Linked DNA regions of Notamacropus eugenii. The main gene of each other region encodes a partner of the protein of the gene in region 2 in a complex. Links are inferred from orthologs where the notes say so. Each region holds a gene or a part of one and is shown on either strand. Other genes may lie near its edges.

Region 1 (7,148 bases), on a different chromosome or scaffold from region 2:
CTGTTATCCTGTCACAAGCAACCAACTCAGCAAGACTACACCTGCACCTTCCTGCACAAGAATATTTTAAAGTAGTCACAGAAATACTAGTTTAAGATTAGGTTTGAGCAGGATTTTCCAATCCTTAGTTTGGTCCATGCCACACACTGTGTTTACTTTTTGAAGATCAGCCTAACTAAATACAGAGAAGCTTGTCACTTGGTGATGACTTGGAACACAGCCACTAAACAAAGAAAAATATAAAATGGCCCTCAGTGCTGTCATCCTTTATAGAAATGACAAAAAGGAAGAATTCACAGAAACATGGTAGATTTGTACGAACTAATTCAATGAAATAGGGAGAACCAAAAGAATACAAAATGAAGATCTTTAAAATGAAACCAAACTTTAAGTAACTGAAAAACCAATGACAGTATTGGAGAATAGATAAAGAAGCTGTTAGATTATGGTAACCATATTAGTTGCTTTTCTTTGTTAAAAGGGAAGCTTCAATAGAGGTAGGGCAGGCAGTGTTTGTTCTCTCCAGAAATGAGACTGTTATAAAACACAAAAGGCATCAATAATTATTTTTTAAAAATTAATTTTTAAAACAGAGCAACTTGATAATCAAAGCTTACACAGAAACATTTGTGGCTAAGGTTGAAGAGGTAATGTTATCAAGAACTTGTTAAGACCTAAACTGAATGAACACATATTTTGACACTCATAGGATTGTGTTCGTTCTTTGTTGCCGAAAAAGACCATGCCATCAGACAAATGATGACATGGCTTGCACTTGACTTTGAGGGAGGGAGGGCTGTGCAGGTCACCAGCCTCACTTCTCCTCCAGAGCCATCTGAATCCAGTGACCGGATATTCACCAGGATGACTGGAGATGACCCAGAATGCAATGGGAGACCTTGGCCCCTTTAGGCCAAGGTCTATTCAGGTACTCACTTAGGGTGAGGCAATGCCCATTCATTGAATAGGCCCGTTTAAGAAGTAGCCAGAGCATGGTCCCTTTAATGAGATCAAGAAAACAAAGACAGCAGGTTGGGTGGGAAACAGCAACAGTTATTATTGATAATCACTCCAAAGCTAGAAGGATCCAGAGGAGCCCTTGGGCAGGGGTCCATAGGCATCCCAGCTTCAGTGTGCAGTAGTTTTAATGTCACAGGACAGGAGAAGACAGGACAGGCTGGAACAGGGGCCAATAAAACCCAAGTCAATTGGGCATCTTTTGGCCATCCAAATTTATCTTCCTTTGGAGAGGAGAAGAAAGGGGAAGGGAGGCAGACAGGAGAGGAGTTGAGTTACTCAGCTAGCTGGGTCCCCCCATCCAGCCAGCTGCATCTACTCACAGGATTGTGTTCATCCTTCCTTGCTGAAGAAAACCATGCCATCGGAGAAATGACATGACTTGCACTTGATTTTGTTTTGAGTGAGAGAGGGCTGTGCAGGTCACCAGCCTCACTTCTCCCTCTTACTACAGTAAAAGGAGAGACAAAGGTGGAAGAGAGGAGAGAGTAGGATGAGAAAAGAAGAAAGCAGAGAGAGGTGGGCAGAGAGGGAGAGAAGGGGAGCAGGGGATGGAGAGAGAAGATATGGAATGGAGAGAAGAAAAGAAAGGGGGGAGAAGTAGTGGAGAAAGGAGGAGAGAGGGTGATAACATTTACTATCATTTTTGGACTTTAATAAGGGCCAGAGCTTGAATTAATCAGTCAGAAGAGCCTGGACCTAACAGTCTCTTTGTTCTCTAAAGTAAACTCAGAGAATACCTCTTCTTATGTCAGCAAGACCAGATGGGGCTAACTTAGTATACTTTATGAGACTATTAACCCAAGACGCTGTCTTGAATAATAGGGCTTTTTTCCACATTTTTAATGTTTTGTGGACATATACTATGTTATGGTATGTTAATGGTGAAGAAAACTCAGATGTCGAGTCAATTTCAGTTGAAACTTTGTCAACTCTGTTACCTTATTGTATCTACAATCCATTCAATTAAGAAAATTCCTTTCTCATGGAATGATTAAACCCACATAGAGACCGTAGATCTGAGGGACACAGACACGCCTGGACGTCCTAAAACAGACTGAAGCCTGGTCATTCTTGTATTAGAATTAGGGACTGACTTTTCCGGCTCCACAGTCATGGAACCCCAAGTTCTAAGGGAATAAACCATATGTATTCAGGCTGCTTGCCTTTTTTAACCAAACTTTCAGGTCAAGAGAGGGGAAGGCTAGAGGGGAATGGAGAGGAAGGAGGGGAAGGAAAATGAACATGGGGGATTAGGGGAGGAAAGGGGGAAAAGAGGAAAGGGAAGACGAGGTAAAGGTAAAAAGGAGGAGAGGAACGGACTAGGAGAGAAATACTTCAGCGCTTCCTAGGTGCCGGCATTGTGGCTCAGCGCTGTGTACTCACAGACGCCTAAGAAACGTCGGGGGGGGGGGGGGTCACCTCTAACCGCCCAGAGCCCCCCCCCCCCACCTCCCCGATCCCCACGCGTGGGGACAGGGCTCCGGCAGCGACCCCATCCCTCCACTCCGGGGCGTACCCGCCAAGAGGCAGGGGCAGGCCCCACGTCGAGGGGCGCCAGCTCTGCCCAGACCTCCTCTGTACATCAAAGCAGCCACATGCGGAAGCCCCGCGCCCCTCTTCCCCAGCCCCACGCCCGCTCCGCTCCGCCATTCCTCGCAAACGCGTTCAGCAAATACCTGGAGCTCCACTGCGCCACCATAATGCTCCACCACGCAACTTCCGGTTCCTCTGGCCCCGCCCTAACTCGAGGTTTGGGGCGGCTGGGTGGCTGTGGAGAGGAAGTGAATGATAATTGATTTCAAAACCTGGATACGGAGAAGCCGTCGGTATTTCCAGAGCTGGATTTTTTCTTGTTTTAAAATAATCCCAAATCTCGATACCATCTAGAGAAGCCGACCACTCCCAAACCACCGAAATTTCTACTTCGCCAAGATGGTCACTAGGGAAGTGTTCAAAAAAACTACAAGCTCCAGCGTACACCCACGTAGAGGGGAGGGTTCGCGCAGTGCATAGTGGACGTTGTAGTACGGCCGGGGCCGCAATGCTCTCTGGGAATCCGAGTTCCCCTTGTTACCTCTAGAGGTACTCACGATTGTGTGAGAACTGTGCTCGGGTGCTCAGCTTTAAAGCTGTCTTACCGTGATTGAGAAGGTTATTAAGTTGTCCGGGATACTCCTGCAGGAAAACCCTGGAAATGCCCGATAGTGTATTTGCTCCCTGTGCCTTCAGGAGTTACAAAGCCTATAAAGCTGCAGAATTCTGCCTTTACAGGAACACGCGACAAAAAGGTATTGAGCTGCCTGGGTTATGGCTAGACTAGGTTTGCTAGAAGTCGGGAAGGTTTGTTCAGATGCTGCCTCCGACTTTATTTGCGGGACCACCCTGGGCATGCCGCTTATTTTAACCTTTATTTCCCGAAAAATGGGAACAACCATCTTAGGCTTTTCTCAAATGAGATCATGTAAGTAAAGTGCTTTGCAAATTTGAAAGCCACAATTTAAATAGAGAAAACCCTGTTTTTTTGTGTAAAAAGAAAGCTGCTCAAGGGTAATAGTGAATGAAGGGAGAAACAGCATTTTGAGGTCTCAGACTATACCATAAAGTATTATCATCCAAATACACTTAAAGGTAGAAGGTAAAGTAGTAGTTAAAAGTTAGAAGTTGTTAGTATTTAGTAGTTAGTAGTTAAAATTAAAAAAATCGGTGGAAAAACTAGATAAGAATGAATCAAAAATTAATTAATTTGGAATGGTAATTGATAAAAACCCAAGCGAGTTACTGTTCGGAACTGGAAATTACTTTGGCAGAAATGAAATGTAGACCAACATCTTACAAAATATTACAAAATAAGCTCAATATGGATACCAACCTAAATATTAAATCAATCTCTCTCTCTCTCTCTCTCTCTCTCTCTCTCTCTCTCTCTCTCTCTCTCTCTCTCTCTCACACACACACACACACACACACACACACTCACACTCTAGAAGAAGAGAACATCTGTGGCTAGGGGAAGAGTTCTGAACCAAGGGATAGAAATGATCTTAAAAGATGAGATTATTTTGATTATATAATATTGAAAAGCTTTTAAACTAACAAATCAATGCAACAGGGTTAACAAAGAAGCTTTTGTCTGGGTAAAAATCTTTGCCTCTAATATTTGTGATCAAGATGCAGCATTCAAGATATATAGGAAGCAAACACAAATATTTAAGACCTAGCTTTAATTCCCCAATAAATAAATGATCAATGGATATGAACAAAAATTTTCAGAGGAATTGTAAGCTGTTAAACATATGAAGTATTAATTCACATCACTAGTAATAAATTCAAATCCAAACAGTCCACAGGTTTCACCTCATACCCAGCACGTTGGCAAGGATGACAAAAGATAAGCACAGATAATGTTGAAGAACTATTTAAAGATAATAACAATATACTGTTTTTAGAACTATGAATTAGTCCAACCATTTGGGAAAGCAATTTGGTATTATGTTTAAAAAGTGACTAAATACATATAACAAGGATATATCACTGTTAGGCATATATCCACCAGAAAATAAAGGATAGAAAGAAATATCCTATATACATAAAAAGAGTTGTGGGAACATGTTTTGTAATAGCAAAGAACTAGAAACAAAGTAGCTGTCCAATTAGTGAATGGCTACACAAACTGTTATATAGTAACATAGTATAAGTGGAGTATTACTTTGTACCAGAAATGGTGAATATAAAGAATTCAGAGAAGCTTGGGATGACTTTGACTAATGCAGAGTAAACAGAAGTAATGAAAAACAATATGTAAAACAATAGCAATATAAATGAAAAGAACAACAATAACAAAAACAATGGTGTAATGACCAACCTTGACTCGAGAGAGGAACTTTAAAAATGTACCTTCTTTCCTTCATTGTTGAGGTTGGCAACCATGGTTGTAGAAGATTGTACATTTTCTCATTCTAGGTCAATGTGTTGGTTAGTTTTGCTGAGCTCCTTTTTCTCTTTAAGATACTTTGTTACATAGGTTGGATCATTGAGTGAGGGTGAAGGAGATCAAAGGATATACTCAGATATGAAGTTAATAGAATAGAATAATAATAATAGCTAACATTAATGTAATGCTTTACAGATAGTATCTTATTTGATTTTCATAACAACCCTGGTTATCATCCCCATTAAATTAATAAAATATTTATAGATTCCACCTGCTATTAATTTTCTGAAGCACATATAAAGATGTGGTTATGCCCCAAGGCTCTGCTGTGATTGTTAAATCTTTTGGGTTATAGGTTGGTTCCCCAAAAGCTTCTGTCTCAGTCTCTTTCTCTCTGTGTCTGTCTGCTTTCCCTTGGTAATTACTATCTCCCTCTCCTCTTTTTATTCTAGGTTCCTTTCAATTAGATCTGTTGTTGCTGCGTTCATCCTTCGTTGCCGAAGAAGATCATGCCATCAGAGAAATGATGACATAACTTGTACTTGACTGTGCCAAAGTCTTTTCAGGAACTCACTTAGGGTGAGGTAACACCCATTCAGTGAATCGGCCTCTTAAAGTAACCTGGGATGACCCCTTTAATGAGGCGTAGAAAAAAAAAACAACCTCAGGCTGGTAGGGAAACAGCAACGGTTACTATTGACTACTCTTAAGCCGTGAGGGTCCAGAAGAGAGCCCTTAGGCAGAGGCCTAGTGTCGTCCAATGTATGAACTTCAGGGTGCAGTAGGTTTAAGGTTTAGAAAAAGGCAAGGTAATGCAGGGCATCTAGCTGGTAAAACCCAACTTAACTGGCCATCTTCTGGCCATCATTAGGCTCTTGCCTAATCAGATCTACTAAGGAAGGGGATGCAGGTTTACAATTTCTTTCTTATCCTCATTCTCTTGAAGTAAACATTTTCCTTATTAAAGACACTAAAGGAGTTTTAAAATAAAAAAGTAAAAGTTGCAAAGTTTTAACGTAACCTTAATAGAAGTAACTAGCCTGGGCACTTTGTAAAAATGCAAATTAATCTGGCATTTTTCTTCCTTAGCTCTTCTTCAGTTTATTGATCCCATTCTTTTAATTTTCATCTCAGTCATTCCTGAAGAAGGATTCTAGACTTTTTAAAGAAAATTATTATTTTTAAATGATATCACCCTGTACAACACTTAATAGCTATTATCAGAAAGTAGAAAGAAATCTCACCTGAGCTCCCTCCTCCCCATTCACTAACAGACATTGTTATATTCAGTATAAGTAAAATGGGGAATCACTAAAGGGTGACCTTCAGTTTTTTCAGAGACACTAGGAGGTGCATTAACCTTTTAAAGAGTGACTCTAGTCTAGACTAATAGTCTACATGTAAGTATCTCCCTTACCACCAATATTTCCTGTGTCAAAATCACATAGGATCACTGGTTAAGAACTAGAAAGGACCCTGGAGGTCATTTAGTTCAATCACCTCATTATATAGGTAGAGGCCCAGAAGGATGGAGTAGGCAGTGAGGGGCAGAACTGTGATCATCTTGGGCTGCTTGCACACACACAGACACAGACACACAGACACACAGACACACAGACACACACACACACACCCAATTTTGGTGCTCATCTGTTGCTCAACTCTCACCTGTGGCTCGAAGAAACTTTAGCATGCTCAGTGGGTACAGCATGGTAAAACTGCCTTGGCAGACAAGTTACACCAGGTTGAGGGTAACTAACAGGCTTCAAAACTTTCAGTGAGTTAGGGGGATGTCTACCCCATCATGTGAAGACTTTTGGGAGGATGGGAACAATATGTTCCAAGGGCCATGAAGGTGGCTGAAGCAGATGCTATGAAGTTCTTAAGAGTCTGTTTAGACATTGAAAACACCAAGGTCATCCACTGCATCCTGGGTCATTACCAGTTGTCTTGACTTTTGTCTTACCACTGGACGTTGAAGGCTCTGGACGAGAGAGAGTGGGGCTGATAAATCTGTGTGATGGCAAGCAAAATAGGATTTTTTGCTGCTTTTATTTTGATATAGTTAAGTGGTCTGATTTAATCTTGCCTTTATCAACTAAGAGTCTGTACTAGGAGTAAAGTACAGAAAGAAGAGTTTATTTAACTGGGAACAGTATATGTATTTATATTGTTAATTATTTTAATGTGATTAAAG
Region 2 (7,645 bases):
CTGGATTCAAAGAGCCACATGTGAAGCCCTAGAGGACCATGTGAACATCCCCAACAAGTAAGTTCTTATCTACCTTAGATGAGGAAGAATTCATCAACTAACAATTAATCAAATCAACACCTCCCACATCAAGTCCAAACTTGTTTCTTGAACCTTCCAGGTTCTGCTCTCTGGGGTCAGTCAAGAAGTCTAACAGTCCTTCCTCCCAATGACCCCCTTGGCCACCTTCTTCAAACAGACTTCACGTGCATGAACTCGAAGGCCTTCCCCTTCCCGGCTGCCCTCCTTTGCACCCTCTCCTTTAGCCTGACCTAGACAAAGCCCAGCAAGCAGGCTGCCCCTCTCATTAAGACCCAGCAGTCACACTGGCTCTTGGGGCTGCCACACCGTCCAGCTAACCCATCAAAGCCCCAAGGCCCTTTTTTATGTATTCCTCATCCAGTTTTGGTGCACCTGCTCTTCTGAATCCAGGGCTACGATTTTACATTTATCGCCACTAAATTTCATCTCGTCATATTCGGCCCAACGCTCTGGCCTGCCACGATCATTCGATAGTCTGGCTCTTCTTTACAGCAATCTCACCTGTAAACTGGCACCACCCACCATCTCTGCCTTGATCCTGGGCAGTGATTAGAAGTGCAAGCCGCTAGGCTCTCCGAATCACTGTCCTGGCGCTCCAGTGCCAAGAGACTGAACCTTTCATGATGCTTCTGATTGGCCAGACAGCCCCAAAGCCCTCTGATCGTATCATAGTTAAGAAAACAGATTTCTGCTTTTCCTACAATATGGAAAATGGCCATCTTTTTTCAAATGCAGCAAAATCCACCCTGTCTCCTTCCTCTGTCATCACTGCTCTGTCTGCCCCAACACCATCACTTTTACTTAAGAGTTTCACCAGCCTCACAGCTTTGAGCTCGGGCGCCTGCTGTGCTGTGGCTCTTCTCAGTCCCCTGGGGGCTTCCACTGTCTTAAATCAGGCAGTGGATGTCCCTCTAAGAGGGCCCCACTGACCCCACAACTTCCCTTTCAGCTCCTCATAGAAAAGACTTCTCTGGGGGCTCAGAAGTCCATTTGTCAGATGTGGCATCTCCCACGCATGCCCAATGCCAGAATCTGCCCTCCTCAGACCCAGAGTGCCCAGCAGACCATCCTTGGCTGTCCCTGCCATCTCAAATACATGTTCCAAGATGGACTGGACACCTCCTCTCAAGCATATCACTTCCACCCCCCAAAATTGGGTGAACCTCCTCGTTACTAAAAATCTGACCCAGAAACAAACTGGTCTATTTTAGATGAGTAGTATTATCACAAAGCAACAAATAGCTGTTTGGCTCCTAGAAAAAAAACAATGCTCCAGAATACATGCAAATAAATGGATCTCCCGTGCGCTGTCTACTCTGCGGACAATATCCTGCCTGACTCTGGGCTTCCCCATCCCTCGGTTTCTCGGTTTCCAGTCATGAGTCTACCTTCTCAATCAGGCCACTCCACCACTGCTAGCTTTGGGCCTAGCCTGCCTCTTCTGAACCATACTGCCAGTCATGAGGTCCCATCCTACCAAGGCTGAGGTCAAACCTGCCACAATGCCAACAACAGCCACAAGCAGACAATGCTTAAAGGTTCTGCAAACCTCTCACAACCCTGGCAGGCAGATGGAATTAGGATTCTCATCTCACAGAAGAGGAAACAGAGACCAACAAAGGATAAATGACCGCCCAGGCTCACAGCTGTAGGTGTCTGAGGCCTGACTCCAGGTCGGGTAAGTCTCTCCACTGCAGCACCCAGCTCATCTTACTTGCTATGCCAACATTAGACGTTTCTGTAGAGAGATCTGAGGGCACAGACTGGATCACTGGCCAAGTCCAGGTGTGGCCACGGCTCTCTATGGACAGGTTCGGCCTTCCCCATCCTTTTCGACTTAGGAGTTCTTTGAATTAGATCTGCAGGTTTCCAGGTGGATACATTCCTATCAGTAATCCTTGTTAAGTGCTGAGAGCCTGCTTTTCTTATATGGGGAACCTACTGTGTGCCCGGCACTGAGTGGGCGCTCCGGTCCTCACAACAGCCCTGCCAAGTAGGTGCTGTTAGGATCCCTATTTTGCAGGTAAGGAAATTGAGGCAGGCAGAGGTTAAGTGACTTGGCCAGGGTCACACAGCCAGTGAGCGTCCGTCGGGTTGGATCTGAATCCAGGGGTTTCCTTCCCAAATCTGCCTCTCTTCTGAACCCTCTGCCCGGGTGTCCGGCTTTGTGGATGTCTGCCAGGGCTCCTTATAACGCTCTCGCTCGCCCCGGGAACCAGGACAAGTGGGGAGTACAGGAGGCCCGGCCGGTGGTGTTCCCGCAGGACTCGGCACCCATTTCTTATCCGGTCCCGCTCCCCGCACAAACAGGGCCGGGAGCATTCAGACCCCAGAGCGCAGCCCTGGGGGAGGGATACCCCCAATCCTGCCGACTCTCCCTCCACCCCCGGCTCCCCGGGATCGGCCCCCCACCCCGGGGCTCGCAAGAGGGCCTGGCCATGGACCCCCTCCTCTCCGCCCACCGATCCCATGAGCCTCTTCGGGGGACGGTCCCCCGAACGCACCACACGGCCCATCCCCCTGCCCCCTCGGACCCGGGACACTAGGGGGCTCCGGGCTTGGGCCGAGGCCCGCCAGAAGCGTTTAACTGAACTCTCCCCGAAGCTCCCCCCCCACCTCCCCTGGGCCCCGATCCAGAGATGGGGGCTCCCCCGCCTCGATTTCCCCACCACGCCCCCCAGCCCCGAGGTCTCCTCAGCTCCCCCGCGGGCCCCAGGCCTCCTCGCGAGGCTCACGGGCCTCGGCGCCGGAAGGCTCACCTTGGATGGGGGCTCCAATTTCCGCCAGCTTGGCCTGCAGCTCGGGCGCGGCCCAGGCGCCGTAGGGGGCCGGCGGCGGGGGCGGCGGGGGGGGCGGCGGCGGAGGCGGCGGCAGCTGAAGCTCACCTTTAGGCGCTTCGGGATGTTCCGCCGCCATCTTAGCGGCGAGAAGGCGCGCGGCCCAGGGGACTGAAGAGCTACGGCCTGCCGGAACTTCCGGAGGCGACCAATAGGAGCCGAGCCTACGGGATGGGAACAGCCAATAGAAATGCAGAGAGGGAGGGCGGCTTCGTGGAGCACGCCGGGAAGCGTAGTCGGGGAAATCCGCGAGGCGCATGCGGAAAGGGGTCTGGTTCGTGGCTAAGCCTTCTGGGAGTTGTGGATCGAAACCAGGGGAAGAGAAGACGGGCCCCTACGTCAAGCCGTTGCCAAGAAGCGGTCCCGCTGCCCCATGGGAAATGTAGTTCCCCACCGTTTCCAAGAGCCATTGTCAGAACTGGGCTGTTGCTTCTCCTTTCTGGGGAGAAGTGAGGGACCAGGGGTGTGGAGTATCACGCCAGACAGCGTCATGGGACCCTAGAGCTGGACAGATGAGGACATTGAGGCCCATGGTCGGGAGGCCTGGAGGCAGATTCGAATCATCCTCAGACCTGCCCTGTGACCCTGGGCAAGTCACTTCCCCCGGGTTTGCCTGGGCGGGGGAGGGGGGCCTGGTCGGTAACTCTGATCCACAGCGGCCCCTCCCGGCAGGAGGTGGTAGTTGCGCGGAGGCGCCACGAGGCGCTCTGTCCAGCAGCGCTCAGCATCTTCCCGGATCGTGCTCGCCGAGGCAGCAAGCGCTGACTGCGTGGTTGTCGGGGGGCCCGCACCCCCTTCCGTCAGCCCCGCAGACGAGCGTTTACATACAGATCTACTTCAACAAGTACAATGCCCACAAATGGGGGGGAGGGACCGGAGGCACCCCGGCTTCCCGGGCTCCCCCCAGCAATCGTGGCTCCGGCACCCCAGCCCCGCTGGAGACCGCCTTCGGCCGCTGCCCCGAGGCGGGGTCCAAGAGAAGGAAGAGGGGGGAGCCCTTCCCCTCTCTCTGGGCAAACTGAACTTGATCCAAAGGCCCCTCGAAGGTGATTCCATTGAACCGAGCCCAGGTTATGGAAAGAGGGAGGGGATGTAACATCAGTCACAACAGCGCCTCAGGACTTAAGCTGTGAAATCATAGTTTAGTGAACTATTTACTCAGCGATGAAGTAAACTGTTCAATTGATAATGTTTAATATAAAATTTTGGAGTAATCTCTTTGTTCTCTCTGAAGTAAACTCAGAGAGTGCCTTTTCCTATGTCAGCAAAAGCCAGCCAAGGCGACTCTACATTCCTTAAGGAGACCTTTAACCTAAGACACTATATCTTGAATAATGGGACTTTCCTTGAATCTTATGATCTATAGACACATACATACTATGTTATGAATAATGGGACTTTCCTTTGATCTATAGACATATACTATGTTATGGCATATTAATGATAAAGAAAAAATAGACATCTTAGGTCGTAATTTCTATTGAACATTGTTTACCCTTTCCTATGTCAATTATCTGTTTAAGGGAGGAAGCCTCCCACTTACTAGTGGTGGGGTTTCTTTCCTTATCACCGAGACATATGCTTACCCAGCTTGGAATCTCAAGGCCTGACTAACATTGCTTTGTTAATTGTCCTGTCTTACTGAATTTATGATTTGCTTAATTAGGAGAGTTTCTTTCTCATGGCAAAATGTACTTAAGACAGATGATTTCTGTACTAGATAGTCAGAGTCACCTCTGACTCCATAGTGCTATGACTGTTATCTTTAAGAGGGAATTAATTAATTAATTAATAACGCATGCCTTTAGTCTGATGTTTTTCTTTAACCAAGTTTTCAGGTTAACACAATAGAGTAAAGCATAGAAAGGTCGTTAAACAAAACATATCGTCTACTATATATATATGTATGTATGTATCTCCTAACAGTCGGTATGTCATGACACAGAGCATATCGCTGCATCCCCAAAGTCGGGGGTCCCAGGCTAGGGTCTTCCCTAGTATGACTCACCCTTAAGGGATAACAGAAAATACCAAGGCATCCACCCCCAGGTCACAGTGTCCTTAATCAATACACAGTGTTCAAGTAAAGTCCTCTCTCATCTTGACTGAAGGCTGACCTCCAAACCCTGTGGCTCCTCCTCTGTGGGCACGGACCACTCCCAGCTCTTGCCTGGGTTCACACATAGGAAGCTCTCTGCTCCTGCTCCTTGCCTCAGCTCATGGGAACTGTTCCACTCCTAACTCTTCCTGCTTCTGCCTGACAGCTGGCTCCAGGGGCTCCTTCCTGCAGCTTCTGTTTCTAGGAAAACAATGTTTAACAAGGCTATGACAATGTATATTTATACACATTACCAACCCCATCATCTCAATTCACCTTAACAGCTCTTAAAAGGGGCTTAAGCTAAGCCTCCTTCCATGGGCAGATCTCAGCTCTTCAGCTCAATTCACTCATAAAGACCAACAGGACAGGGCTTCTGTCTGAGAAATTAACACGGATCAAGAGAGGGAGTGAGGACATCGCAAACACTCTTTCTGTTCCCCTGGTCTGCTCCCACTTGCTTCTCTCTCTCGGGTCTGTTCCTCTCTCTCCTCTCTCTTCTCCCTCCAAGCAATTCAATACTAAGTGAGTGAATTAGTTATATGCTGTTTCCAAAGACTCCGGATTCAATCAAAAGCATTTGATTGGCTACAACTCAATCCAAAAAAACAGCAAAAAAATCCTACTTTGCTTGCTCCTTCCAGGAAGGGAAGAAGGGAGAAGGGAAAAGGAGGGAGGAAGGAAAGATGGAAAGAGGGAAGGAGAAAGGAGGGAGCTGCCTTCCAACACAAGCTGTGGGACCTTGGGGCTCAGGCATCCTTATGCCATCTACAGACTGCTGTAGCATATGAGCTTCCATAGATGACCTGCTGTTCTTACCAAACAGAGAAGCAAACTGAGGCCAGAGAAAAGCAGTGACTTCCTCCAAGTCCCACTGGTAGCGCAGTGTCCCTGGCTGTGAGCCTGCCAGACTCCTCGTGATAGGAGGGCCAGACTCCTAGGTCCCTAGAGAGAAGGAAGTGGAGAAATTCCCAAGGCGGGCACCAGAGGGGAGGGCAGGAAGAGTTGATTCAGGACAACACTGCTCTCAATTGTCTGTGGGGAGCTGTCTGAGCCTGCCCCACTCTTCCTGGGCCAGGCACATTCAGGAGCTGAAAGGAGATAGGGCCAAAGCCAGACCCTCCAGGGAGAGCTGTGAAGCATGGACACTGAGACCAGCTCTATTCTGGTCTGCCCTGGCTCGACCTGTGCTGTCCTGTCCCCCCTCAGAGCCCAGCTCTGGTGCCCACCCTTTCCAGCCCCACCCAGGCCTTGCCTGAGATGGCCCTCTGAACAATGGCCCTTCTCTTCTCCCTAGGCCCAGCCTCCCCGTTCCTGCAAGTCCTCCACACAGCAGCCACCGCCTTATCTGGATGATAGCAGTGAGAGCTGGTAGAGACTTCAGGCATAGTCTAGCCCAAACCCCTCACTTTTACAGATGGGGAAACTGAGGTCAGAAAGGTGGGGTCACCAGTCAAGTTTCTACCAGCAGTAAGTCCAAACATGACACGGACAAGATCAGAACCCAGACCCAAGGTTTTCCCTGCTATGCCAAACATCCATGGGAGCCATCTGGGAGGCAGATTGTGAGTGCCATTAGGTGTTTCCTACAATGACCCAGCACATACCTACCTCTGTCCCCCTCCAAGAATGACTTGTGAGAATTGCATTTACCTTCTTCCCCACTGGCTCTGAATGCCAATGTAATGGGAAGAGTGTGAACTTGTAGTCCCAGGACTGGGTTTGGAATATGTGCTCTGCCTCTCATTTTCTCTGTCACCTTGTCCTCAGCTTCCTCATCTGTAAAATGAGAGGTTTCGGCTGGATGATCTCTGAGATGTCTTCCATCTCTGAATCCTATGCTTTCATCCCATAGGTAATGCTTTTCCCTCTCGGGGCATTTCTCAGGACTGAGATTTCAAAAGCTGGGTGGGGGGCAGGGAAGGGGAGAAGCCAGACCTAAGGGAGACAGGCAGGGAGTTGATCCTGGGCCCCTCCCCTTGTTATCAAGTTGAGCTCAGGCATAACCGGTTCCTTTCTTGAAGATATGTCCCAGCTCCGGGTAACCTGAGCCTCCCTGGGAATCCAGATAGTAGGAGCAAAATATACAGCCTAGAGCTGGAGAAACTGAGGCCTGGCAGTACAATGGGGATGAGGGTGGGGTGGGGACAGCTGCCAGAGCTTAAGATGTGACAGAAACTCAAGAACTTCACATCATTTTCTCTTCTCTGATAATTCCTCTGTGGTCCTAACAAGAGCTGTCATGGAATTCCACTCCTGATTGGGTACCTCTGTGGGCATGGCCTGGGTCCACCCATTTCAGGGCCCTCCGTAGACTCAGTTCTGTGCCCAGCCTCTAGTTCCAGGCTCTCTGCCCACACCAGGCAGAGGGAAATACTGATAAAGACAGGGACTCTGCCAACCACTCAAGGGCGATGAAGGGCAGCTGTCCCCAATGCTGGGTCAACAGACTCTCTGAAGGGCCTAGCTGCCCTCAAAGACCATAGGGTCTCTCTACCAGAGGGCAAAGCTAAGGTCTGGGAAGCAGCCCCTAAGACCAGCACTGCTAGAGATCGAAGGCAGGGAAATGGCCAGGATCAAGGATGCAGGCTACGTACCTCTTCCAGGACCGAAATTGAGTGGAGAAAGA
Region 3 (7,723 bases), on a different chromosome or scaffold from region 2:
TCACCACGGAAGTTCCATAGGGGATGAGGGCAGGAAAGAGCCCAGACTGGCTCATTAGGGCTCTCTTAAAACCAGAGTCTTCAGGGAAGTGCCCCAAGGAGGCCTTAGTATATTAAACATTTGTAGTGGCCATGCCCTGGGGTGATACCACGTTGAGGTAAAACAAGAGTCTGTGCAAAGCAGCCAGGTGAGGGATGGCAGAAGAAGCTGCCAAGGAAGCCAGAGTGAAGTGGGGAGGCCATTTCAGTCAGCAAAGATGAGGGAGAATGGGCCCCAGAACAGTGGAAGATGCCTCTGTAAGGCTTTGTTCTCTTTCATCCCTCACCCCAAGAGACACAGTGTTTTTTTTTGTTTTGAGGTGTAGTGCTGGCCTCACAAGATGTGTTCCCAAGCATTCTTACCCCCAGGGACTCAATTACAACATTCAATGAACATCTGGTGCCCGCTGAGCAGGGCTGTGGAGGATGCCATGCTAAATAAGCAGGCCCTGGCAGACATAGAGTTCGGCTTAGACAGCTCCTCCTCTTGGCAGGCAAGACACAAAGGACCACCAGAATATAAAGACAACATTAGGAGGCAGAATTCAGATGCCTGCAATGACTAAACTTGTCTTCAGAGGACTGATGGGGAAACAGAACCCCCCACTGCTGGCTGAAAGGCAGGCAGGGGTGGGGGTGGGTGAGGGATATTAGAGGTGGGGAATCCATTAGCACATGTCAGGCTTTACCAACAGGCTGGGTCGGGTTTTTTTGACTTACTGCAACCATGAAATTAAAAGATGCTTGTTCACTGGAAGGAAAGATATGACAAACCTGGACAGCAGAGTAAAAGCACAGATATGACGTTGGCATAGTCAGAGCTATGGCTTTTCCAGTAGTAGCATATGGCTGTGAGAGGAACTACAAGAGTACTACAGAACTGACACTTTGAATCGTGGAGCTGGAGAAGAGTTCTGAGAGTCCCTTGGACATCAAGGAGGCCAAATCAGTCCCTTAAAGAAATTAATTCAGGCTACGCACGGGAAGGTCAAATACTGAGGCTGAAGCTTAAATAGTCTGGCCACATGATGAAAAGCCAGGACTCGTGGGAAAAGACTCTGATGTTGGGAAAGACTGAAGCAAAAGGAAAAGGGAGTGGCAGAAGATGAAAGGGATAGTGTCACGGAAGCAACACACATGACCTTAGTCTTTGAGAGAGAGTAGGAAAGAAGAGCCCGGTGTGTTATAATCATGGGGTCACAGAGAGCAGGACAGGACGGGTCAACAATGTAAATTCAACTCAACAGACATTTTCTGGGGATTTGGTGCTGAGCACTGGGGCCATGAAGAGAAAAATCAAAGTTTCTGCCCTAAAAGAGCTTTCACAGGGGAGTGGAACAATTCATGCAGTGATAACCAGATGTGAAAATACACACAAAGATCTAGCTGGATGGGAACATTGTTTTCCCTGACAGAATTCCGTTCCTTGAGGACAGGGGCTGTTTTGTTCCCGTGTTCGGGTGGCTATGGAGTACTCAGCATGAGCACACACCCTTTCTCTCTCTCTCTCCCCCTCCCCGGAAGGCATTCTGGGAAGAGGTGGCAGGCCATCTCCCCCTCGGAACCTTCAAGGGAGGCTAGGAAACAGCAGAGCCCCTTCACAGAGGCACCGGTCCGGGAGGCAGCACGTGCTATCCCAGCGTGTTACAGGAGGGCGCTGGGCTCGTGCACCGATCAGACAGCTCGCTCCAGGCACTGGAGCACTTGGACGCTCCAACGCACTCCAAGCGTGAGGGGCCCCGAGCCAGCGCTCCTGGCACTGCCTGGCTAACTCTGCACACATCCCTTACTGCGTCCGTCCGTCCGTCCTTCCTTCCTGCAGAAGGCCGTGACGCCCGGGGGACGACATGACTGGCGCTTGCCGGTGACTCGAGGGCGGCACCAGCCTCACCCTCTCCTCCTGGGACTCATCAGGAGCGGTGCGATGGCCCAGCACGCCTCTCGGGACCACGGAACCACGGCACAACTTCTGGCGTAACCTTCCTTGTTCTGGACCTTCAACTGCTTACTGATAACGAACTCACAATTTAAAAACTTCAGGAAGGCGGGCTGGCGGAAGGCGCTTTATCCTGGACGCCCCCGGGCAGGTGCCGGATGGATCACTGAGCACCTCCTGCGTGCTAGGCTCTGGGCACAAAGGGGGGCGGCGTCTGCCCCCCAACAGCTCACAGTCTCGAGAAGAAACTCTGGGCCCACTCCCGAGCACGAATCCACGAGCCGTCCCGACTTCTCGGCCCACGCGTGCGGTGAGGTCACAAGTGGGAAAGGGCTACGTGATCATCATTAATCATGATTAATTGGTTAGGATTAATGAGGCTCCATCGCGGGGTTCGTGTCTGCCTTTCCCTTTCCCGGCCCCTCCCCCGTCTCTCCACGTGTCTGCCTTTGGGGGAGGGGCCCGCGGGCAGGGGGGGGGGCAGTGACACTCGTCCTTCACCCTGCCTGCCTCCGTTTCCCCATCTGTAAATGGAGATCCCTCCGGGATCTGCGGCAAGACAACCCCAGGAGGGGTCACCGAGAGTCTGGGATGGGCCCAGCGCTCAGGGGGCTCCTCACCACGAGCCCGCCCCGGGGACGAGCAGGCTCCCGCCGCTCTGCACACGCGGCCGCCGGCGGGGGCGCTCAGGCCACGCTGGGGCTCCATGGCAGCAGGACCACGGGCCTAGAGCGCCCTCGTCCGGCTCCCAGGTGGCCGCGCGGCGCGGCCAGCGCGAAGCCTCCTGGGAGCTGTAGTCCGTCTCCCTCTCTGCCATGGAGGCCCCAAAGCCTCCAGTTCCTCTCCCCTTCCCTCCCATCAGCGGACAAGGCCCAGAGGGGCCCGCCAACCGCCTACCTGCTTGGGCTCCGTGGCAACGGGCGGCGGCGGCGGCACCGCCTGCACCGGTCCGGCCGGCATGTCTGCGGCGCTGGGGGCGGCGGCTCCAACGGCGGTCCGGGCGCGAGCGGCCGCTACGACAGGGCCGAGCCGGGCGCTCACAAGATGGCGGCGGACCGCCTTGATGGAGGCGGGGAGACGCGCTTCCGGTCCCGCCCCTCGCCTTCCGGGGGCGCTTCTCCCTTCCCCCCGCGCACGCCGGACGTGGAGACGCCGTTGCCATGGAGACGGCCAGGCGGGAGACCTCAGTTACTCGGCTGGGAGCGGCTGCGGACCTGAGAAGTCGAGGCCGGGGCTCCGGGGGCGGGAGCTGCGGGAATAGTTCCAAGAGCTGCAGCGGCGCTGCTGGGGGCAGGTGAGCTCGGACTGACGTCTCGGGGTCCCATCCTGCCCCGGGGTGCCCAGCCCGCCTGGGCCCGGCCTTTTCACTGCCCCCACTCTGGCCCCGCCCCTCATCTCCCCCCCATCCCTGGGATCGCCCCTCCCACCTCCCCTGGGGAGCCCATCCTCCTACCTCAGGGAGCACCTGCCTTCCTGGAGGAACCCCGCCATTATTGTCCGCATCCCTGGGCCCCTCCCACCTCGGGGAGCACCCCTCCTGTCGCAGGAGCCCCGCCCTGCTCCCTCCCCCCCTTCCACAGCCCTATTCCCAGGTAAGGCTCCTTACCTTCCAGGGGCTCATGTCAAGCTCCGCCCCCCCGTCCCCTCGCCCCCCCCGGGTGTCGGGCCCCAGGCTAGGGACTGGGGTCGTGGGTACGAAGGGAAGACCAAGAGCACCGGAGAGCAGCTCGGCCTGGTCAGGGACTGGCCGGACCTCCTAGCCCTCCGTCACCTTTCCGAGGCTCAGGGCTGGGCTTCAGATCGGGAGCGGTGGGGCCGGGCACATGGGGGGGAGCCTGAGACACCCCCCCCGCCAGGGCGCCCTAGAACGAGCCGAGCACAGGTGTCTGCCCACGTGCCCAGAAAGCATCCCCTCCCTCCCCTCCGGGGTCCCACCCAAGAGCTCAGCTGGAGGGACATGAAGACGTGTGGGTTCCGAATTAAAACCTGGGAAACCGAGGCCCAGGGCGCCGGGAGGCAGGAGGTGGCGCTTGTCCTGCCTCCGCCCAGGGCATCTTCTGGCCTGCAGGATGGCCCATCTGCTGGGGAACCAAAGCTGCATGGACAGCTTGAGGAAGGACATCACAGACCTGCAAGGAGCCATCGTGGACGTGTTCTCTCGAGCCGGGGCCGTGCGCTTCCCCTCCTGGAAATTCCCCGACAAAGTGTCGTGCGACCTGGACTTGGTGTCCCTCTTGGAGCACTATGACCACGAGGAAGGGAACCCGGAGTTCACCCAGCTTTCCCATGTGGTGCTCCTGGAGCTGGTGATTGACAGGTGAGGGGCAAGCCAGGGTGCCCCGGGGTTGGAGCGGGTGCCCGGAGGGCAGGGGCTGCGGGCAGGGAAGCAGGTATCCGCTTGACTTTCCAAGGCTGGGAGCTGTCCAGAGCTAGAGTGCTAGGGGAGCCCCCACCTTCAGAGCCACAACAGCATTTATATAGAGATCTGCAGTTCAGGACTGATGACATCCTGAGGGTGATGTCTTAACTCTGAGAACTGGATTTCAGTGAGGCAGAGCCAGCTAAGTGTTCAGCCTTACTCCCTTCTGAGTCATGGAAAGTCCAGCGGCACAACATAGGCCCAGACGCTCAGGATGGCCTGAGGTGCAGGGGGTAACCTTGGCCTTTCTAAATGAAGGTCTTTCTCAGGCCTCAGTTTGTCTGAGGCACACCCAATCTGATGAAGGGCTGGATAAGAACTGTGACAAAAGATGGCTGAATTTACCATCACAGAAACATCAGTCTGGAAGGGGAAGACCCTCAGAGTTTCTAGCCAGAACAGAAAATAATTGCCATGCACACTCATTCTAGAACTCAAGAACTGGCTGGCTGGGGGCTCTTATTGGCCATTCAGTGAAACCTGAGTGACAAGTCAGATAGCTCCATTTGAAACACAGGCTTTTTTTTTTCTTTTTTAAATTTTATTTTATTATTATTTTTTAATGTTTTACAATCACTGCCATAAAATTAAGATTTTATCCCCCCAACACCTACCTCCCACTACCTCCCTCCTTCCCCACGACAGCATACAATTCTGTATAGGTTCTACATATACTTTCCTATTGAGTACATTTTCACTATAGTCATGCTATGTAGTCGAACTAAAATAAATGGAAGAAATCATATAACAAATCAAAACATGATACACAAAAACACACACACACACAAACATGATCTGCTACATTCTGCGAATGACTTCCATATTTCTTTCTCTGAGTGTGGAAGGCATTTTGCCTTAGAAAACCACCATTGGGATTTTTTTTTTTAATAAGTTCTTGCATTATTACGAAATTCCAAGTCTACCAGAAAAAACTCTCGCACACTGTGGTCGTTGCTGTGCACAAAGTTCTTCTGGTTCTGCTCCTTTCACTCAGCATCAGATCATATAAGTCTTTCCAGGCCTTTTTGAAATCTTTTTGTTCATCATTTCTTATGGCACAATAGTACTCCATTACATTGAAACACAGGCTTTTTAAAAGCCTGTTTTTCCAGGAATGTTATCTCATTTGATCCTTACAATTATAGTTCCATCTTACAGATGAGGAAACTGAGGCTGAGGGAGGTTAAGTCCACGGTCAGTAAGTGTCCCAGGCATGATTCAGACTCTGGTCTTCAGACTCCAAATCTAGCACCATGCACAGTCCTACCATGCTGCCTCGTGGGAGCTGGAAGACCTTCAGAATGTTATGGAAGGTGGGGTGTGTGCTCTTCTAGGCTGAGTAGATGCCTCTGGAGCCTCTGGCAGCTCTGCTCCTCCAAAGAGGAAATGGGCCCCAAAGGTGCTGGGATGGCCTGGGTGCAAGGTAGGGCATGAGCCTCCCGGCTGCAGTCCTGACTTTGCTGCTTATCAGTAGTGGGACCTGGGTAAGTCACTGCCCCTTTGGGGGCCTCAGCTGCTTAACTCAGTCAGGACACACAAAAAGCCCACAAGTTTAAAAAGCAAGAAAACTCAGAGTCCAAGCTCTGGACAGTCTGGCGGCCACTCAGAGAGCCAGTGAGCTTTGAATTTGGCAAAAGAAAACCTACCAGGGGCATCTAGGTGGCACAGTGGATACAGCACCAGCCCTGGACTCAGTAGGACCTTGAGTTCAAATCCAGCCTCAGACACTTGACACTTACTAGCTGTGTGACCTTGGGCAAGTCATTTAACCCCAACTGACTTGCCTTCCCTGCTCCGAAAGAAAAAGAAAACCTGCCAAAGGGCCAAGTGACATGTCCTCTTTTATGTCAGGGTACTTAAGAGTACTGTCCAATGTGCTGGCCAACATGCCTATAGAGCTTTGTGAGCTCCCCAGGGTGCCTTGGTTTCCAAGACCACTGACAAACTGGGTGACCAGGAGCATCCTCCCCAGGTGGAGGCTTTCGAGCCCTCTCTGGCCTGTCTGGCTCTGGGCCCTCAGTCTGAGTCTCTTTGTCCCCCAGGCTTCTTTTGCTTCTCCAGAGTTTTACCAGCTACACGGACAACATCACCAGCAATGAGCTGATCCCCGTCTCCCGTGAGGTGGGGCCCTGCATGTCCATTGGGCTCACTGTGCGCAAGTACTGGACCAGCACACTGAAACTGGGAGAGCTCTACCGGCAATCGCTGACTAAGGTAGGGATGGCTCTCCCAGAGTAGCCCTTGGGCATGTGACCTCCAGACAACAGGAGTGGCTGACAGCTTCCCCCTCTGCCAGGGCAGGGGGTCTTCTCTCGTTTCTTGCTTTGGAGCCAAGTTTGTTTCTTGTATTTTGCAAAATTCACTTCTGATTTTTTTGGTGTTTGGTTGTCATTTTCATTTGCATTACAGTAAATGTGTATACTGTTTTCTTGGCTCAGCTGACCTCACTCTGCATTAATTCATGTGGATCATTCCATGTCTCTTCATATGCTCACATACGTTATTTCTTGTAGCACAGTAATATTCCATTATGTCTCATAGACTCCCCCATTTATTTATATTGGTTATCGCTCTTCTTCTGTGCTTTATCCTTCTCTGGTTTAGGTATTAAGGCTAAATTTGTCCAGCTAGGTGGTGCAGTGGATAGAGCACCAGTGCAGGAGTCAGGAGGACCTGAGTTCAAATCTCACCTCAGACACTTGACACTCACTAGCTGTGTGACCTTGGGCAAGTCACTTAACCCCAATTGCCTCATTCTGGGGCATCTCCAGTCATCCTGATGAATATCTGGTCACTGGATTCAGATGACTCTGGAGGAGAAGTGAGGCTGGTGATCTGCACAGCCCTCCCTCACTCAAAAAAACAAAGTCAAGTGCAAGTCACGTCATCATTTCTCTGATGGCACAGTCTTCTTCGGCAGTGAAGGATAAATGCACACAATCAGGACCAAGAGTATTTTTTCTTTGGTAGTTCCTTTACAGGTATATCTGTTTTGAGCTATTTAAGATCTCAATTTTATCTTTTCTCCGATGTTTATTTTACATTTTTGAAGTTTTTCCCCATGGCTATTGTATTTCCACTTTTGTTAGCGTATGATTGTGTATAACAGGTTCTGATCACTCTTTTTATTTCTTCTGGTTTCGCTGTGATTTCACAGTGCTAGTTTACAATTTTCTGGATTTGATTTTCTACCCCCTTTTTAGTCAGATTGACTAAAGGCTTATCAGTTTTACGAGTATTTTCAAAGAACTAACTTTTCATTTTTATTTATCGTTTTTATAGTTATTTTGGTTTATCTATTTGTCCTCTTATTTGTGTCATTTCTTCTTT
Region 4 (7,389 bases), on a different chromosome or scaffold from region 2:
ATGGATCATCCTCTTCTTGATATTCTCTTCTCTCTAGGTTTTTGGGATATGACTCTCCTGATTCTCCTCCTACCTATCTGACCACTCTTTCTCTGTCTCTTTTGTGGGATCTTCCCAAAGATCATGCCCTCCAACCACAGATATCCTTCAGGGTTCTACCTGGGGCTTTCTTTTCCCTCTATACTACTTCTTCACTTGCTGATCTCATCAGATCTCATCTATTTAATTATCATCCTTAAAGCTAATGATTCTCAAATTTACCCTTCTTTTCCCAGTCTCTCTACTGATCTCCAATCTCACATCTTCAGCTACCTTGTAGACATCTTAAACTCAATATATTCAAAATGGAATTTATTATCTTACTTCCTAAACCCTCCCCTCCTCCTACCTTTCCTAATACTGTAGAGGGCAAAGCCATCCTCCCAGTCCTCAGGCTTACAACCTAGGAGTTATCTTGTACTCACTGTCAACCCCCATTTCCAATCTTTTCTCAGGGGCCTGTTGATTTTACCTCTGCAGCAACATTTCTCAAACATGCCCTTTTCTCTCCTCTGACACTGTCATTACTCTAAAGTGAACCCTGAAAATAGCCTGCAGGTGGGTCTGCCTGCTTCTAGTCTCTCCCACTCAATTCACCCTCCATTCAACCAAAAATGATTTTCCCAAAATGCAAGGTCGACCATGTCTATTCAATAAACTTCACTCTTTCAATTATCTCTATTTCTCCAGTATATAACTTGCTTTGCATAGATTTGCATATGGTCTACCTCATAGATTATAAGCTTTTTGAGGCCTGGAACTTTCTTTTACCCTTTTGGTATCCCTGGTGCTTAGCAAAGTACCTGGCAATTAAGCAGGTGCTTAATAAATGTTTACTGACTGTTTTTCTTGATAAAACTCCTGTGGGTCCCTATCTCTTCCAGAACCAAATACAAAAATCCTCTGTTTGACCCTTCGTATTCTAGAGCCCTCCTTTACTCTTCTTAAGCCTTTACTCTATGAAATGTACTCATCCTCTTCAATCCACTGATACTGGCCTCCTTGCTGTTCCAGGAACAAAATACTGCATCTCCCAGCTCAGGACATTTTCTCTGACTGTCCCCCAGGCCTGGAATGCTCTCCATCCTCAACTCTGCCTAGTAATTTTCCTGGTTTCCTTTAAGTTCTAATTGAAATCCCGTCTTTCATTGAAAGTCTTTCATAACCCCTCTTAGTTCTAGTGCCCCAAATCTCTCTTAATTATATCCTAGTTATCTTGTATATAACTTGTTTGTACATGTTTGTTTGTTGTCTCCCCCATTAGACTGTGAGCTCCTTTATGGCAGGAACTGTGTTCTCCCTCTTTTTGAATCCCCGTTTAGCACAGCACTTGTCACAGGGGTTTAATAAATGTTGTAGTAGGCATTTAATAAATGCTTATTGGCTGGCTGACCACTTACTAGCCAGGTGACCTTAAGCAAGTCCCATCATTCCATCTCCCTTCCCACATCTACAACAGGAAGGGTTTGGACTAGGTGGTACCAAAGGCCCTACCTGGATCTCCAGCATCTAGATAGGAGGTTCCCAAACTTATTTGGCTTAAGGACCCTTTTCAAAAAAACATTACTTGGCACACCCCTGGAAATCTACAAAGAAAGTTTTCTTTAACACTTTAAAGTGTTTTTTAAAATTTGCATCATTTCAAAAAAATTTTTTTTAAATTACACAAGCTAAATCTAATAATTTATTATAAATTTGTGGGGTTTTTGACTGCATTGAAATTTTGAACATAGTATCCTATTGTAAAAAGTCATGGCCTGCAGGGATTCCCGCTGATATTCTGGACTTTCTGACAATGCAGGGCAACCTCACTTGCCAACATCTGCTTGTTTAAGACCTGCCCCTGGACTTAACCACTGATGGGCTATAGCTTGCACTTTGTATGCTTATTTGGAAAATCACTTACTCACAAGGACTTTGACTTCATTACACAACAGATGAGACATGTACAAAGTTTTTCAAAATTTTCTTCTCTTCTTTCCTTGTGCTTCCACAGCCCCTTATTTTTATTAAGCTCTCCCAACTGCACCCAAGGTTTCTACCACCAGTCCTGCCCCGAGCCTGGATCCTTCCAGCTTCGCCCACTTTGGGATCCTTTGAATCCAGATTCCAGAATCCGGATTTTGGATCATAGTGGGTTCATGATAAATACTTGACTGGGCTTCCTTTCATGCAAGGATTCTTTACCTAGGGGATGTAAACAGATTTTGGGGGGGTGGGGGGGAAGAGGTTCCTGTAAATTTGCATGGGAAAAAAATTACATCCTTATTTTCACTAACCAATTATTCAAAATTCTTCTGAGAAAGGTTCCACAGACTTCACCAGACCGGCAAAGGGGTCCAGAACACAAAAGAGGGTTAAGAGTCCCCTGCTTCAAAAGTTCTGAGGTCGAAGGAAGGCTGGGGGGAAAGAGGAGAAAGTAGACAGTTCCCCTCTCTGTGTGTTTTGAAAAACTGAGCACCCAGTTCGCGTCGGGTCCAACTGCAAATCTTCCCCAAGTATGGGGGATGGAATCTGCCATGTCCTTAGCTGTCATCTAGTCCAGCTTCCTCACTTTAAAGACAAGGAAACTAAGGCCCGGGGAAGGTAAGTGACTGATCCAAGGCGGCACGGCTCGTAAACGACAGGGCGGGAATTCGAACTCGGGTCTCCCGACTCCAAGGTGCGGCCGGCGCTCTCCACAGCGCACCCCGCCAACAGGGAAGCGAGGGGGAAGCTCCCCCGCGCCCGCGCGCGCTCTCACCTTTCCGTTGGTGGGCGGCTCCTGGATGTAAATGTTGCTCATCCTGGACGGCTGTCGGGGGAGGGGAGATCCGCTGCCGGGCTCCTTACGAGGCTCAAGGGCTCTCTGTCTGACCGTCCGCGCTGCACGGCGAAGGGAAAGCCCAGCGGGCCAGTCCTGACAGCTCCTAGAGGCGGCCTCAGCTACGGCATCAACTGCCGGTCCTGCCCTTCCGACAGCCTAACAAGGCACTAACTGACCCAGGCGGCCGCCATACTGCACCTGGCCCTGCGCACCGCTCTCTGCGGGGAGGGGTGTCCTCGACCTTCTCCTACAGAAATTCTCCTGGAGAGAGTGAAGAGAGCCCGCTGAGCATCCGCTTGAAGTTAATATTCATTTAATTATCTAGCTTCGCAAGAAACTTTCTTTTGTTTTAAATCAATCTTTAGTTAACGATTGGCAAGTCCTAAACGCCCTCCCCCGGTGTATGTATATGTCAGAAATGGTTTGGACCACCAGTGCTCGGTCTTATGCCTCCGTCCGCGAACTGCGGCTGAAACTGCCGCGTTCTGTAGTCTTCCTCGGGACTCGGGTCCCTAAGAGGAGGCTGTGGCGGGAGAGGGGAAACCCGCGGCGCAGCCGGAGTCACCGGAAGCGGTGTCCGGGGAGCGAAGGCGGCGGCGGCGGCGGCGGCGGCGGCGGTGGCAACGGCAGCTGAGGCCCAGAGGCTGCTTCCGCCCGGGCTATGGCCCTGCCAGGTGACTGCCCCGGGGTCGGCCGGAGCACGGGGAGGCGAGCCGGGAGGGAGGTGGCGGGGGAGCTCGGAGCTCTGCGGCCTGGGCGAGGGAGAGCGTGAGCGGGAGGTCAGGTTTCCGTGGTGGATTGTGTATGTGTGTGTGCGGTGTGATTGTAGACTGTGAGTGTGTATATGGGGGATGTACTTACATGTATGAATGTAGTGGGAACACGTGTGTGGTGTATTGTGCATATGTGATCACGTGTACGTGAGTGTGTATGTGTGGTGTCTGTATGTGTGTGTAGCGTACGAACACATGTGTGATTGTGTCATTGTGTATGTGCGGTGTGTGTACCAGGCGGTGGAGGCAGCTAGGTAGATCCGTGCCTAGAGGTTCATGTGAGGCCTCAGACACTCCTTAGCTGTGCGGCCCTAGACAGATCACCTCCACTGGAGAGGGGAGTGGCCAGCCCCTCGCCTATCTTTGCCAAGAGAACCACCTCACAGGTCATGAAGAGTGGGATACAACACAGCACACATGTCATTGGGTGGCGTATTTGATTACGTTTGCGTGGTATATGTTTATACGTATATGAATGTAGTATGATTGTGTGTGATTGTACATGTGCGAGCATGTATTATGTGGGCGAAATGTGTGCTGTGATATGGCTTGAGAGTGTGGGATATAGACATGTACGTGGCTTGTGTTGCGTACATGTATACACATGCGTGTACACAAACACATTATGTTTGTAGTTGTATGTCATGTCTGGTGTGTGTATGTGTTTACATGTGTATGCTTATATGTGTATATATGGTATATACATATTTTATGTAATATATGTTTATGAATATATGTGTGTCTGATTATGTTATATGTGGCGTGCATGTATGAGTGTAAGCATGCTGTATATGCATGTGGTATGCATATGTTATGTGATGTATTTTGTATGCATGGGTATATGTTTATGTGGTGTACATGCATGTGCGTGCGAATGTATAAAGTATATTTGTGGTATGTATGTGGTGTTACATATATGACAGTATTGTGGACAGTGTATATGTGGTGTGTGTTTATAGGTATATATGTTGTGCGTTCATGTCTGCATGTGGTATGTATATATGTATACATGGTGTGTGTGCACAGATGTTTGTGGGGGAGAGAGTAGGAGAGATGGGGGAAGCGTGATATTTTTAAAAGTTTTTTAATAGTAATAATGCCTTTTTTTTAATTAAGTTAAACTCCAGAGACAGGGTGGTGTAGTGAAAAGTGTCTAGAAACCAAAGCCTAATTTTAATTAATCTAGATGTGACATATTTTCTACATACCACCACCAGAGAGCAAGACACAGTCCCCTTAATTTCTTCGTGCCTCTGTTGACTCCTTTAAAAGAGGTTATACACTAAGTGGTTTTTAAGGACCCTTTCCAGCTCTAAATTCTATGGCCCTAAATCAGGAGTTCTTAACCTTTTTTCCCCTGGGTCATGGACCCCTTTGGCAGTCGGGTAAAACCTATGGATCCCTCACCTAAATAATGTTTTTAAATAATTGAAAGAAATACTCAATTTTAATTAGAGGTTAGTTTTTAAAAAGAAGTCTTTTTCCCCCATCTAAATTCACAGTCTCCTTAAAATCTTTCCACAGACCTCTTGTCTATTTTGTATCCCAAGTTAAGAATCCCTACCCCAAATTGAGGCATGGTTAAAGAATGAAAATTTCTCTGAGCCAGTTTCCTAAGTGAATACTTGTCCTACCTACTTTAAAGTATCATTCCTGGGAATACACTCAAATCAATTCAATAGGCATGTATTAATTGCCCACTTCATGGTACAGTGCTTGGAGATGGAGTCAGGACCCACTTAAATTCTCTGCCTCTTTAATACCTGTATAACCTTGGGTACCTCACTTAACGTATCTGGAACTCAGTTTGCTTACCTGTAAAATAATAGGATTAGACTAGATAGCATCTGAGATAACTTTCATTTTTAAATCTATGATCCTATAAACTGCCTCCCCAAATCTACGTTGTCAAGGGATATGGGGAAGTAGAATTTTGGTAAGTCAGGGATCATTCTACATTCTTGGTACTTAGTATTTCTGGAGAGTATAACACACACACACACACACACACAAATTATAATATAAAATTATACATGATGTGTACATTAGAGATTTATGTAAAATGCTACGTGAGGTCCCAGAGAAAGAGTTGGCATTTTAATTTGAATTGTAAATAATGGATAGGAATTCAGTAGACGAAAGAATGGTAGGGGAATTCCTTTGGGACTAATGAAAAAGATTCCTAAAGGTACATTCCCAGAATAGCCACTTTGGCCTGAACTAGATAGTTGATGTATGACGGTAGTAATGCCAGACTGGAGGGTACCTTACATGCCAGACAAGAGATTGAACTTTGCCTAGGCAGTAAATTAAGGCTATTGTAGATTTTTTAGCAGAAAAGTGATGTGACCTGATTTCCAAATGAGGAATTCAGCAGAGGAGGAAAGCATTCATTGGACGGTAGAAGACTATTACAGTAGTGCACGTGAATAGTGATTATTTTCTACGTGAGGGGGATGGTAGTGCAGAAGAAAAAGGAGGAGGTATCATAAAAATGGGAAAAGGTCCCACATGTACAAAAATATTAATAGCAATTCTTTATGTGGTAGCCAAGAACTGGAAATTGAGGGAATGCCCATCAATTGGGGGATGGCTGAACAAGTTGTGGTATATGAATGTAATGGAATGCTGTTGTGCTATAAGAAATGACAAATAGTCGGACTTCAGAAAAACCTGGAAAGACTTATGTGAACTAATGCTGAGTGAAATGAGCAGGACCAGGAGAACATTATAGACAGTAACAGCTACAGTGTGCAAGGAGACTAAGCCCTTCACAACAATGCAAGGACCTAAAACATTCCCAAAGGACTCTTGAGGCAAAATGCCATCCACATCCAGAGAAAGAACTATGGAATGGGAACACAGAATGAAGCAGACTATTTTCTCTTGTGTTATGTTTTGGTTTGGTTTAGTTTTTCTCATGGTTTCTCCCATTCATTTTAATCCTTCTATGCACCATGACTTATGTAAAAATATTTTTAATAAGAATGTATGTGTAGAACCTATTGCAAGCCATCTCAGGGAAGGAGGGTGAGGAAGGGGGAGAAAATTTAAGAGTTATGGAAGTGATTGTAGAAAACTGAAAACAAATAAATTAATGTAAAAAAAATAAAAAGGAGGAGATGGTTGTGAAAAGATATTGCAGAGATGAAATTAACTGGGCTTGATGGCCAGTGTGCCAAGCTGCAGCATGTACTCTCTGTATGACCATGGGCAAGTCACTAATAGGAGCATAGCTATTCTCATCTTTTCAAATGCTGACAACCGTATTGGTGTGTCTCACTTTAAAGGGTTGTTGTATTTGAAAAGCACTTCTGAAATTTCAAGTATGCACTGTTTGTTTGCTGGGTCACCAAGGGACATGTCATTTAAGCTTGTAAGCTTCATTTTCAGTATCTCTAAAAGGGAGGGGATAACAGTGTCTTTCAGACATAACAAAATACTTTCCTTACAAAGTTAGTTGAACCTTAAATGATGTAAAGTATTTTTTAAAATTATATGAATGTCAGCTATTCATGGTTTTGTTATTTTTATTGGAAGGGCAGCTAGGTGGTGCAGTGGATAGAGCACCAGTGCAGGAGTGAGGAGGACCTGAGTTCATCTCTCACCTCAGACATTTGACATTCACTAACTGTGTGACCTTGGGCAAGTCACTTAACCCCAACTGCCTCATCCTGGGTCATCTCCAGTCATCCTGATGAATATCTATCTGGTCACTGCATTCAGATGGCTCTGGAGGAGAAATGAGGCTGGTGACCTGCACAGCCCTCT

The links.
Region 1: SF3B2 (region 2) and CWC22 share a complex: the UniProt entries of both Homo sapiens proteins name them as parts of the minor spliceosome. The link is inferred for Notamacropus eugenii from reciprocal best matches to the Homo sapiens genes SF3B2 and CWC22.
Region 3: SF3B2 (region 2) and SF3A1 share a complex: the UniProt entries of both Homo sapiens proteins name them as parts of the 17S U2 SnRNP complex. The link is inferred for Notamacropus eugenii from reciprocal best matches to the Homo sapiens genes SF3B2 and SF3A1.
Region 4: SF3B2 (region 2) and CWC27 share a complex: the UniProt entries of both Homo sapiens proteins name them as parts of the minor spliceosome. The link is inferred for Notamacropus eugenii from reciprocal best matches to the Homo sapiens genes SF3B2 and CWC27.

The regions. Positions count from the first base shown.
Region 1 is NC_092876.1:243,434,607-243,441,754, forward strand, and holds the start of CWC22 (pre-mRNA-splicing factor CWC22 homolog), read right to left. Parts: upstream 3,014-7,148; 5' UTR 2,826-3,013; exon of another isoform or gene 2,537-2,825; intron 1-2,536. UniProt on the Homo sapiens protein: Required for pre-mRNA splicing as component of the spliceosome. As a component of the minor spliceosome, involved in the splicing of U12-type introns in pre-mRNAs. Promotes exon-junction complex (EJC) assembly.
Region 2 is NC_092873.1:18,740,124-18,747,768, reverse strand, and holds the start of SF3B2 (splicing factor 3B subunit 2), read right to left. Parts: upstream 3,013-7,645; 5' UTR 2,998-3,012; coding exon 2,841-2,997; intron 1-2,840. UniProt on the Homo sapiens protein: Component of the 17S U2 SnRNP complex of the spliceosome, a large ribonucleoprotein complex that removes introns from transcribed pre-mRNAs.
Region 3 is NC_092875.1:15,043,426-15,051,148, reverse strand, and holds the start of SF3A1 (splicing factor 3A subunit 1), read right to left. Parts: upstream 3,005-7,723; 5' UTR 2,935-3,004; coding exon 2,872-2,934; intron 1-2,871. Other genes in the region: CCDC157 (coiled-coil domain-containing protein 157), read left to right, coding at 3,135-3,268, 4,043-4,291, 6,436-6,607. UniProt on the Homo sapiens protein: Component of the 17S U2 SnRNP complex of the spliceosome, a large ribonucleoprotein complex that removes introns from transcribed pre-mRNAs.
Region 4 is NC_092875.1:319,598,760-319,606,148, reverse strand, and holds the start of CWC27 (spliceosome-associated protein CWC27 homolog), read right to left. Parts: upstream 3,013-7,389; 5' UTR 2,825-3,012; coding exon 2,783-2,824; exon of another isoform or gene 2,319-2,782; intron 1-2,318. Other genes in the region: protein SREK1IP1, read left to right, coding at 3,507-3,519. UniProt on the Homo sapiens protein: As part of the spliceosome, plays a role in pre-mRNA splicing. Probable inactive PPIase with no peptidyl-prolyl cis-trans isomerase activity. As a component of the minor spliceosome, involved in the splicing of U12-type introns in pre-mRNAs.